3 linked regions of the Mus musculus genome follow. The protein of the gene in region 1 interacts with the protein of each later gene in a pairwise test. Links are inferred from orthologs where the notes say so. Each region holds a gene or a part of one and is shown in the gene's direction. Other genes may lie near its edges.

What was found.
Region 2: the proteins of Cdc5l (region 1) and Bicral interact in a two-hybrid assay, tested with the Homo sapiens proteins (2 studies listed by BioGRID and IntAct). The link is inferred for Mus musculus from reciprocal best matches to the Homo sapiens genes CDC5L and BICRAL.
Region 3: the proteins of Cdc5l (region 1) and Kif3c interact in a two-hybrid assay, tested with the Homo sapiens proteins (2 studies listed by BioGRID and IntAct). The link is inferred for Mus musculus from reciprocal best matches to the Homo sapiens genes CDC5L and KIF3C.

What each region holds. Positions count from the first base shown.
Region 1 is NC_000083.6:45,402,640-45,406,287, reverse strand, and holds part of Cdc5l (cell division cycle 5-like protein), read left to right. Parts: intron 1-1,496; coding exon 1,497-1,694; intron 1,695-3,648.
Region 2 is NC_000083.6:46,800,367-46,804,014, reverse strand, and holds part of Bicral (BRD4-interacting chromatin-remodeling complex-associated protein-like), read left to right. Parts: intron 1-2,185; coding exon 2,186-2,967; 3' UTR 2,968-3,648. UniProt on the Homo sapiens protein: Component of SWI/SNF chromatin remodeling subcomplex GBAF that carries out key enzymatic activities, changing chromatin structure by altering DNA-histone contacts within a nucleosome in an ATP-dependent manner.
Region 3 is NC_000078.6:3,364,007-3,367,754, forward strand, and holds the start of Kif3c (kinesin-like protein KIF3C), read left to right. Parts: upstream 1-1,125; 5' UTR 1,126-1,974; coding exon 1,975-3,525; intron 3,526-3,748.

The sequences.
Region 1 (3,648 bases):
AAACATTGTATGTATGTTTGAGTGGGATGTGCTGTTGTTAATGTGTAGAGGTAAGAGGACAACTTGGTATGAGTCATTTCCACTTTGTTGGATTAAGGTTTTTGAACTCAGGGTGTCATGTTTCGTGGTCAGTGCCTTTACCTGCTGAGCTGTCTTGTAACCCAGAGCCCATTTTACAGTTGAGAATTGGGCTCAGAGGAGTTAAGTATTGCAGGCAGCCACTTAAACAGGGAAGCAGTGATTGAACCCTAGCCTGCTCAGTTCCTTCTCTCTCATTCTGCCATCTAAAAGTGTTTCTTTAGTAGAGAGCCTTTCACCCTTTCACCTTGTGACATGAGGAGACGGTGGGGTGGAGCACCCCTAAGCCAGCAGTGGTGCCTCTGGCTTAGGAGCCTGCCTCAGTTGATTACTACTGGTATGGTTCTGGACAAGTTGTTTAATTTCAGTAGTTTCACTAGCTTTAAAATGAAGTCAATATTGGCTAGTTTGTAAAGTGGTTATATGTTTTTTTTCTTTTTTAAGAGAAAGTCTTACAGCAGGGCGTGGTGGCACACGCCTTTAATCCCAGCACTCAGGAGGCAGAGGCAGGTGGATTTCTGAGTTCGAGGCCAGCCTGGTCTACAAAGTGAGTTCCAGGACAGCCAGGGCTATACAGAGAAACCCTCTCTCAAAAAAACCAACCAATCAAACAAACAAAAAAAGAGAAAGTCTTACTATGTCACCCTGGTTCTGGAATTTGCTCTGTAGACTAGGCTGGCTTTGGACTCTCATGCTTTATATCTGCCATGGTTAAAGTTTTTGGAGGTAATGAGAGTTGTCCAGTTTCTGACCTTTAGTGACTGGTATGTACTTGAGAGATGTTGCTGTATAATGAATAATAGCGGTGTTGGTGCTCTTGGGAAACCACGAATACTTGACTTTTTAAAATCAGTTTATCTTGGAGCCCTTAGATCTTTCTTTCTCTGTGTATCCTTGTATGTGTGTGTTGTATGTGTATGTGTGTGTTGTATGTGTGTGTTGTATGTGTATGTATGTGTTGTATGTGTATGTGTGTGTTGTATGTGTATATGCCCATGTGCATGCTAGAGGACATAGGTTATATTTATCACCCTCAGCTCTGTGTCCTTGAGACATAGGATATAGTCTGTATTGTTTTTTTTTTCACCGAACCAAAAGCTTGCTGTTGCTGAGTTGGCTGGCTGAACTATAGGCACATGGTCATGTCTGTGGTTTTCTCCCTGCCCCCCCCCCCCCTTTTAAATGGGTTCTGGGGATTCAAACTCAGGTCTTCAAGTTTGCAAAGTAGCTACTCTTACCCATGGAGTCATCTCCCTAGCCCCTACTTAGAGGCTATTTAGCTCAGGTATTGTCCATCCCCTTCTAGAGAACAACCAACCAAACCTTACCATTGGTTTAAGGAAGGAGGAAATAAGCTAGTCTTGAGCTTTATGGTGGTAGAAAGTGTATGCTTCAACTTAAATTATTACTGTAAACAGGCCCAGGATGCTCTGGTACAAGAGATGGAAGTGGTCAAACAAGGAATGAGCCATGGCGAACTCTCCAGTGAAGCTTACAACCAGGTGTGGGAGGAATGCTACAGTCAAGTCCTCTATCTTCCTGCTCAGAGCCGCTACACTCGTGCTAATCTTGCTAGCAAAAAGGACAGAATTGAATCACTTGAAAAGAGACTTGAGGTTGGTATCCATTTGCTTATATGTTTAAAAATCGATTATTATTGTGTGTATGATGTGTATGTAAGTGCTCGAGGAAAGCTTTGTGGAGGCAGTTCTTTCATTTCCTTCTAAGTGGGGTTTGCCTTGAATTCCTGCTGCTAGGCTTGCGCTGCATTCACTTTTACCTGCTATCTTCATTGCCCTTGGTATCCTTTTAAAATTCCAATTCAGTTGAAATTGTGAGCCAGTTAATACGTCTGGTGACTTAAGTACTAGGGCTGGACAGCTGATTGCTTTGTAGTTCTTGAACACTTTGCTGGGTACTCTTCCCTCAATCAGAACCTTTATTTACGTGAGGGAGGGAGAAGGAGTTACTAAAGTCAAGATGGGTCAGTGAGATCACAGCAGTGGGAGTTTTGATCTATAGCTCACAGAGCACCGACATTTACAGAAACTCAGTACATTTTTGTGTATCCTGCAGTTGAGTTAGAGTGGAGTTGCTATGCAGACAGTGGCTCTGTGATTTCCTATGTCTGTGATGCATTGAAGCCTATTAACAGCAGTGGTTTCTTAATAGAATGTTCATGTTCTGAATTCCAGAATCTCTGTAGACATTTTGCAGTGGCATGTAAATAACACAGACTGCCAGGCTGCCTTGTGGGTTCTGGTTGTTGTTGTTGTTTTTGACAGGGTCTTACTGTGTCACTATGCCTATCACTGGAACTTACTGTGTAGATCAGGTTGGTCTCAAGCTCAGACATCTGCCTACCTCTGCCTCTCCAGTGTGAATAAAGATGTGAGCCACCACACACAGCATGCTTTCTAGACTCTTACTCGTGGTCTTTAGGGATGTGTCTGAGGCCAAGATGGAATAGAGAAGGGAAAAGGGATTCTTCAGGACACTGGATGCAGAAAATGACCTAAGCTTCCTCTTTCATGTGATTGTTAGTTTTTCTTTATAGAAAGTAAATTTGAGAGTATTTTTGTTTAGGGTTAAATCTAGATATTAGAATTAATTGTGGTAGTTGGGGCTGTGTGGAACTAGAGAAATGAACAGGAAAAAACAGTGTCTTCTAATATGAATCTTTATGACCACTTATTGTCATACCTTTGTGCTTGTAGAGTTAGGAAATTAGTCTTTGTAATGTAATTCTTGCAGTGCCAGGGCCATGAGTGTTGTAGTTTTATGACTTCCAGCAGGTGGCACTGTTGCTCTGTTTTAATTCATAATGAAAGCTCTCGGAGACAGAACACGAGTGGTTAAATTGTAGGTTATACTTTGTGTCGTGCAGGCTTCTTTTCTTACAAATGACAGTTATAGATCTAAGGCCAACTTTGTAATTGATTGGTAGGCTGTTTGGAATGCTTTCTTGTAACATTTATATATAAATACTTCAATCTCTCACTTTGTTTGAAAAATCTCAGTTTGAGGTGGGTAAACTCTCTCTGCTGCAGATCAAGGACATCTTAATGTTGTTTAAAATGAAGAGGATAATCCCCCTGAATCTCACTTACTCTGCTGAGGCTCTAACTTGAATCTCACTTACTCTGCTGAGGCTCTAACTTTCATGACAGCAAACAAATGTCACAGCGTGAGTGCTGCTGTGAAGTCCAGTGACTCTTCTCTGTTGGATCAGCCCTGAGAATTCTGAAGGGAATAGCACAGCGAGCCTCCGCTGTTCTGTTCTGTTCTGTTGGAGAGGTACTTGGGTTGTTGTGAGCAGTCATTAAAAACATGTGGTTCTCTTTGTTCACTTCATACCAGGACTGAAGTCTTCTGTTGAACTGTTTTTGTTGAGGGATTGCTGATGTTGGAAGAATATTCATAAAACAGTCTAAAGTACTTTTTTTTCTCTTTTTGACTCTTGGGTAACTTGGCTTATTGTTAACCCAGCTAGTTAATTTTAAGGAATATTTAATCAAATCTTTCAATTAGTAAACTCTTATTCCAAAAGAACGTTTATTAAGTCTTCAG
Region 2 (3,648 bases), about 1.4 Mb from region 1:
GCAGCAAGCACTCGTGGCCTTTGAACCACCTCTCCAGCCCCTGGAGTTTGTATCTTGCTGTGATCCCAGTAGTGTCTGAGTGCATTCGCTCCATACCGCAGCGGGCTCGTCCCCTGTGGCCTCACTGCTGCCTTCCTTTGCTGTAGTCTCCTTTCTCCAACACCTAGTCTTCTTTTTTGTTCTATTTGTTTGTTTTTAGGTTTTTTGTTTGTTTTTTGAGACAGGGTTTCTCTATATAGTCCTGGCTGTCCTAAAACTTACTCTTTTAGACCAGGCTGGCATCTAATTCAGAGATCCACCTGCCTCTGCCTCCCAAGTGGGGATTAAAGGCATGTGCTACCATCACCTACTTTGTCTTTTTGTTTTGTTTTTTTGTTTTTGTTTTTTCGAGACAGGGTTTCTCTGTATAGCTCTGGCTGTCCTGGAGCTCACTTTGTAGACCAGGCTGGCCTCGAATTCAGAAATCCGCCTGCCTCTACTTTGTCTTTTTTTAATATTTTTAAACTTTTATGTATATGGTTGTTTTGCCTACATATACATGCCTGATGCTCAAAGAGCCCAGAAGAGGGCGTCAGATCTCCTTTGGGGGGGGGGGGGTTGTTGTTTGTTTGTTTGTTTTTCAAGACAGGGATCTCTCTGTAGCCCTGGCTGTCCTGGAACTCACTCTGTTGACCAGGCTGGCCTTGAACTCAGAAATCCACCTGCCTCTGCCTCCTGAGTGCTGGGATTAAAGGCCTGCGCCACAGATCTCCTTGAACTGGAGTTACAGGTGGTCATGAGCCGCTTCATGAATGCTGGGGCTCGCACCACATCCTCTGCAAGAGCAGCCAGTGCTCCTGACCGCTTCAGGGTCTCTTTGTCCCCAGTTGTGATGTCATTTTGGTTTTTTTGTTTTTTTTTGTTTGTTTGTTTGTTTTTGTTTTTTGTTTTTGTTTTTTCGAGACAGGGTTTCTCTGTATAGCCCTGGCTGTCCTGGAACTCACTTTGTAGATCAGGCTGGCCTGGAACTCAGAAATCCGCCTGCCTCTGCCTCCTGAGTGCTGGGATTAAAGGCGTGTGCCACCACGCCCGGCTGTGATGTCATTTTGGTTGTTAAAATAAAGCTTCACTCTGAAGCCCAGGCCATGCCAGAATTCATGATATTGAACTCAGGGTAATTACCCGAGTCAGGGCGGGGGTTACAGGCAGGAGCCCCCAGGCCTAGCTGTTCTTTTCTGACAGTTTAACATTAAGGTTAGGCCTGCCTTGGCTAAGGCATTCATAAATACACTGTGTGGACTGAGAGGAATGGAGAAGTCTGGAAGGAACGCTGGGTATGGACCAGGAGCCACAGAAGGCCAGTGTTAGAGGATCTGTTTCTAGCCCTTTTCTGAGGAACTGAAATCTCTGTCTTTGGTAAAATAGTTTGTGATGACTCTGTCAGTTTGTCATGTCTTGCGTGATGAGAGCCTGAATACCGGTGTCAACTAGATGGCACCCTCTTTTTCCATCTTAGCCTCCATCCCTGTAGCTCAGGATCGGAGGTGTGATGGGTGCTCTGTGCATCCTGTCTAGTTTTCTAGATGAAGCCGCCTCTTCCTTTCTCCCTTCAGGGAAGCCACTGTGGTCTCTACCTCAGCTCCTCACAAATGCTTCTGGAACCTGGCAAAGCCCAACTCTTCACTCAGACATAGCTCCTCCAAGCCCTTCTGTCCTTCCAGGCAGCTAACGTGTGTGCCTTTTTGCCATTTGCTTTATGTTCTGGGAGAAGTGGTGGGGTCCTCACACCTGTCTATTAACTCTATCACTCAGAGACAGGTTGTCCCCTTTGCCACAAAGTCCACTGCTCTCAGGAAGGAAGCAGGTTGAAGCTGGAACTTTTATTTTCAGAGCAGTTAGTTCCCAAAAGAAACACTGGGGAGTAGGCTTGTAACTCACTTGGTAAGGTACCTCCTCTGCATACAGCTTCCTGTGTGGAAGCTGGCCCAGGAAGCTGGGCTACTTGAAGAAGATTCTCCTCTCTTAAGTTGTCTCTGAGAGTTTCTGAGGGAAGGGTCATGAGTGGAGTGGGCGGGAAGATAAGCAGAAGAGGGCAAGGGGTGGGGCTAGCCAGGACTGCAGGGTTGCCTTTGTGCCTGCCCAATCGAGAGGCTTTGCCCTGTGCTAGTTCTCTGACCGCTAAAGTTCTTTCTGATCTCCTTTCCAGAGGGTTTTCAGGCCGATTTCTGTTGTTCCTTCAAACTTGACGAAGCTGTACCTGAGACCCCGCTTGACAGGAGTGACCAGCATCGCAGCAAAACCAGCTCGCTCCATCAGGTGCCCAGGGCCCAAAGCAGAGACCGAGCCAAGCCAGGCATGGCAGAAGCAACGAATCATGACCAGTTTCATCTAGTGCCTAACCACATCGTGGTCTCTGCAGAGGGAAACATTTCTAAAAAGTCAGAAGGCCACAGTAGAACACTGAAATTTGACAGAGGGGTCTTAGGCCAATACCGGGGTCCGCCTGAGGACAAGGGCGGCCGGAGGGACCCTGCCAAGGTCAGCAGGTGCTCTCCGGGCCCCGAGGGCCACCGCAAAAGCTTGCCCAGGCCAGATCACGGCTCTGAGAGCAAGCTCCCCGGCGTCCTGGCCAGCTCGCACATGGAGATGCCCTGTCTCGACTCCTTCCAGGACAAAGCGCTGAGGAATTCCCCAAAGAATGAGGTTTTACACACAGACATCATGAAAGGGTCGGGTGAGCCCCAGCCAGATCTCCAGCTCACCAAGAGCCTAGAGAAAACCTTTAAGAACATCCTGGAACTCAAGAACTCGGGGCGGCCGCCAAGCGACCCTACGGCCAGCGGTGCGGCGGACCTGGACTTCCCCAGCTTTTCTCCAATGGCTTCGCAGGAAAACTGCCTAGAAAAATTCATCCCGGACCACAGTGAAGGCGTTGTAGAAACGGACTCCATTTTAGAAGCAGCTGTAAATAGTATTCTAGAGTGTTAATAGCAGCCGTCCTCCTCCAGACCCTGCCCCGGACCAGTTACACTCTCTCCCAGCAAAGCAAATGGAAACGGCTCCCGTCTGTCTCCAGCCTGCTTGGTCCTCCATCACAGGTTATCCTTTCTAATCTCACCCTGTTCTTTTGAAGAGCAATACATGTCGTCATGGCTGCGGGGAGACCCCTCAGTACACCCACCTCTCTCTAGAAAGCAGTCCGATAGGCCCTCCACATTTCAAGTGTTACGAAAGTGCTTACGGCCATTGTTGTTCGTTAATTTGTTTTGTGGTTTGTTTCTTAGCACTGTCGCTCAAGACCACAGTACACTTGGCCCTGGGTAAAATTTTGACAATCATAAGTCATTTCAAAAGAACAGACTTATTAAAGAAAAATCAAACAGGACTGATTTAAAGACTTTCTCACTGCAGCTCCAAAGTAGTGGTTTGGTTTTGTTCTGTTCCAGGGGGAGAGGGTATCTGCGTAGGGAAGACTCTCCCTGACCAGCCCGCTGAGTGGTGGGTAGCCGGTGCTCTGCCTGGAAGCCCACCGCCCTGGCTAAGACGCCAGGAGCACAGCCACAGAGCATCCTCCTGACATCCAGTGCTGTGCGATGCTGCAAAAGCAAAGCCTTGTGTTTGTCTTCAACACATTCGTGCTGAATTCTGTCTGAGAATGGTCTGTTCTTA
Region 3 (3,748 bases), on another chromosome or scaffold:
ACTCAGGTCCTTCAGAAGAGCAGTCAGTGCTCTTAACCACTGAGCCATCTCTCCAGCCCTAGAGTTTCTGATTTAATTTGCTTCTCTGTTGCTGTAATAAAACACTGCCCGCCAAGAGTAACTGGGGGAGGAGAGGGTTTATTTGCGCTGCAGGGTTCCGGCATCAGGACCTCAAGGCAGGAGCTTGAAGTAGCAATCATGGAGAGACATTATTTACTGGCTGGCTTCCAGACTTGCATTCTGCTATCTTTCTTATACAACCCATTACTACCTGCCCAGGGGATCACCTCCCACAGTGGGTTGGGCTCTCGCCTCCATCAATTAGCTATCAAGAATATACCCCACAGACCAATCAGATGCAGGCAATTCCTCAGTCGAGATTTCCTTTTCCCAGACATCTCTAGATTGTGTTGACAAAAATTAACCAGCACAGCTTCACAGATGATGAAATGCTTGTGCTGCCCAAGTGGCAGAGCAGTAGAGGAAGGACTGTAACAGGATCTCTGGGCAAAGGCACAAGGGTGCAACTGTCATTTCTATTACAGCCTGTTGTCTCCTTAAGAAGGGTTCGGCGCCTAGAATAGTGCCAGGGCTCCACGTGAGCTAGAAAAGTGTGTCAGCATGGTTTTTAGGAGTATAGACTGGATCAGAGTAGTGGAGGTAGGCTGAGAGGTCAGAAGATGGACAGGCCTTCCTAAGGTCATGGAGAAGTAGTTGGAGCCAGAGGCCATGTACAGACACAAGAGGTGGAATCAGTTAACTGTGCTTCCCGCAGAGCGTTAAAAGGAAGGCCAGGAGTAAACCAGACTAGGGAGAGAAAACACAGAGCCCAATAATGTTTAGGAGTTTAAGCTCTAGGAGGCCTGGTGACACCCTGAGAAATGGAGGACAGTGACATGTGCCCATCTGCAAGCAAAATGGTTGGAGCAGTGAGAAACCGAGAATGGCGGTTGCCGAGAGAACACGCGTGGGTAGTGCAGCCTCAGCAGACACACTCAGGGGTTGCATGTGGGAGGAGGGGCTCCCAGACTTGAGGACTGGAGAAAGCATTAGCAACCTGACAGAACCGGGTTAACAAAGGAAGGACTACATCTCCCAGCATGCTCGGGTTCGGTGGGGTGACGGCTGGCGGTGGCTGCGCCGCATCCGACTGGTGGGCGCGGGACCTGGGTGGGCACCGGAGCCTGTCATCCCTGAGGGGTCCGTGGGGTGCGGGCGGCGATGCACCGCTGTCCCTCGCCCAAGGGCCGCGCCGGGCTCTTGTTCCCCGCCCCGCGGCCCCGCCCCTTGCCCCACCCCAGACGGGAGACCTAACCCGGGCCGCAGCGCAGCGGCCGCAGCAACATCACTCTCACCGCCGCTGTTCCGCCCCATCCTTTTCTGTTTTTCTCTCATTCTCCGGTGGCGGCGGCGGGGAAGGCGAAGGAGAGGCAACAGCAGCCAGCCTTGGCTGCAATGAATGATCCTCCACCCGGAGGGGAGGACTCCAGGTGAGCCTCTGACCTCGGGAGGATCGGGACCCTCCGAGCCGCCCAGGACTCGCATCCCCCGCCATGGATCCCTAGGGGAAGGGAAAAAGGAGGAGGAAAAGACAGCTCTGCCGCCCACCCCCATCTCATTTTCCTCTTCCTTTATCTCATTGTTGCCGAAGCTGTAGCCGTAGCGCTCACTCTTGCTCCAGCATGGGGTGGATTCCAGGCACTACCCTTCGGCAGGAGCAGCTTGCGCGGTAACCTAGGGATTCTGCCTAATTCTACCTCTCCAGACTGTGCACAGAAAGCCGCGGAGAGCTGTGGAGGCCTGGACTGCAGCAGTCTCGGGGCCAACTCCCTGCATCCCCACCCTGGTAGGCTGCATGCGGATTGAAGAGAGGTGCCTGAGGGCTGGGCCAGCCCGACTGATCCCGACCTAGGAGTAGGGCAGAAGGACCGCCCAGGCTGCAGAGCGGCCCACCTGGAAGGACAGAGGTGCAAGATGGCCAGTAAGACCAAGGCCAGCGAGGCCCTGAAGGTGGTGGCCCGGTGCCGCCCCCTCAGTAGGAAGGAGGAGGCTGCTGGTCATGAGCAGATTCTGACCATGGACGTGAAACTGGGCCAGGTGACTCTGCGAAACCCCCGCGCGGCACCCGGGGAGCTGCCCAAGACCTTCACTTTTGATGCTGTGTATGATGCTAGCTCCAAGCAGGCCGACCTGTATGACGAAACGGTGAGGCCCCTGATAGACTCAGTGCTTCAGGGTTTCAACGGCACCGTATTTGCCTATGGCCAGACTGGCACTGGCAAGACCTACACCATGCAGGGGACCTGGGTGGAGCCAGAGCTCCGCGGGGTTATCCCGAATGCCTTTGAGCACATCTTCACCCACATCTCCCGCTCCCAGAACCAGCAGTACCTGGTTCGTGCTTCCTACTTGGAGATCTACCAGGAGGAGATCCGAGACCTGCTATCCAAGGAGCCAGGCAAGAGGCTAGAGCTGAAGGAGAATCCTGAAACAGGGGTCTACATCAAGGACCTCTCTTCCTTTGTCACCAAGAATGTCAAGGAGATTGAGCATGTGATGAACCTGGGGAACCAAGCCCGAGCAGTGGGCAGCACCCACATGAATGAGGTCAGCTCTCGGTCCCATGCCATCTTTGTTATCACAGTGGAGTGCAGTGAGCGTGGCTCTGATGGCCAGGATCATATCCGAGTAGGCAAGCTCAACCTGGTAGACCTGGCCGGCAGTGAGAGACAGAACAAGGCTGGTCCCAACGCAGCTGGAGGGCCAGCCACACAGCCAACAGCTGGTGGTGGGAGTGGAAGTGGCAGCGCTAGTGGTTCTGCCAGCAGCGGAGAGAGGCCTAAGGAAGCTTCTAAAATCAATCTCTCGCTGTCCGCCCTGGGCAATGTGATTGCTGCTCTGGCTGGCAACAGGAGCACCCACATCCCCTACCGGGACTCCAAGCTAACCCGGCTGCTCCAAGACTCACTGGGGGGCAATGCCAAGACCATCATGGTGGCCACACTGGGTCCAGCTTCTCACAGCTACGACGAGAGCCTCTCTACCCTGCGCTTTGCCAACCGAGCCAAGAACATCAAGAACAAACCGCGGGTGAACGAGGACCCCAAGGACACACTGCTGAGGGAATTCCAGGAAGAGATCGCTCGCTTGAAGGCCCAGCTGGAGAAGAAGGGGATGCTGGGCAAGCGACCTCGGAGAAAGAGCAGTCGTAGAAAGAAGGCCGTGTCTGCCCCAGCCGGCTATCCAGAGGGGTCCGTGATTGAGGCCTGGGTGGCCGAAGAGGAAGATGATAACAACAACAATCACCACCCACCCCAGCCCATCTTGGAGGCAGCTTTGGAGAAGAACATGGAGAATTACCTGCAGGACCAGAAGGAACGGCTGGAGGAGGAGAAGGCTGCCATCCAGGATGACCGCAGCCTTGTGAGTGAGGAGAAGCAGAAGCTTCTAGAAGAGAAGGAGAAGATGCTGGAGGATCTACGGCGGGAGCAGCAGGCTACAGAGCTGCTTGCAGCCAAGTACAAGGTAAGGTCCCCAGACAATGCGAGTACTTTGATTGGTAGATTTTCATTTGAGGGTCTGTGAGTTGGCCTGAGTGGGATATCCCACCTCAGGACCACACACTGATGACTGCTCCGGAGCAGCTAAGCAAAGTACCATAATACTAGGTAGCTAGGTGCACTTACATGCGAGCATCCACACCAAGCAAAGTGGGGAGATGTCTTGGACCAGTGGACTCCAGATGCTC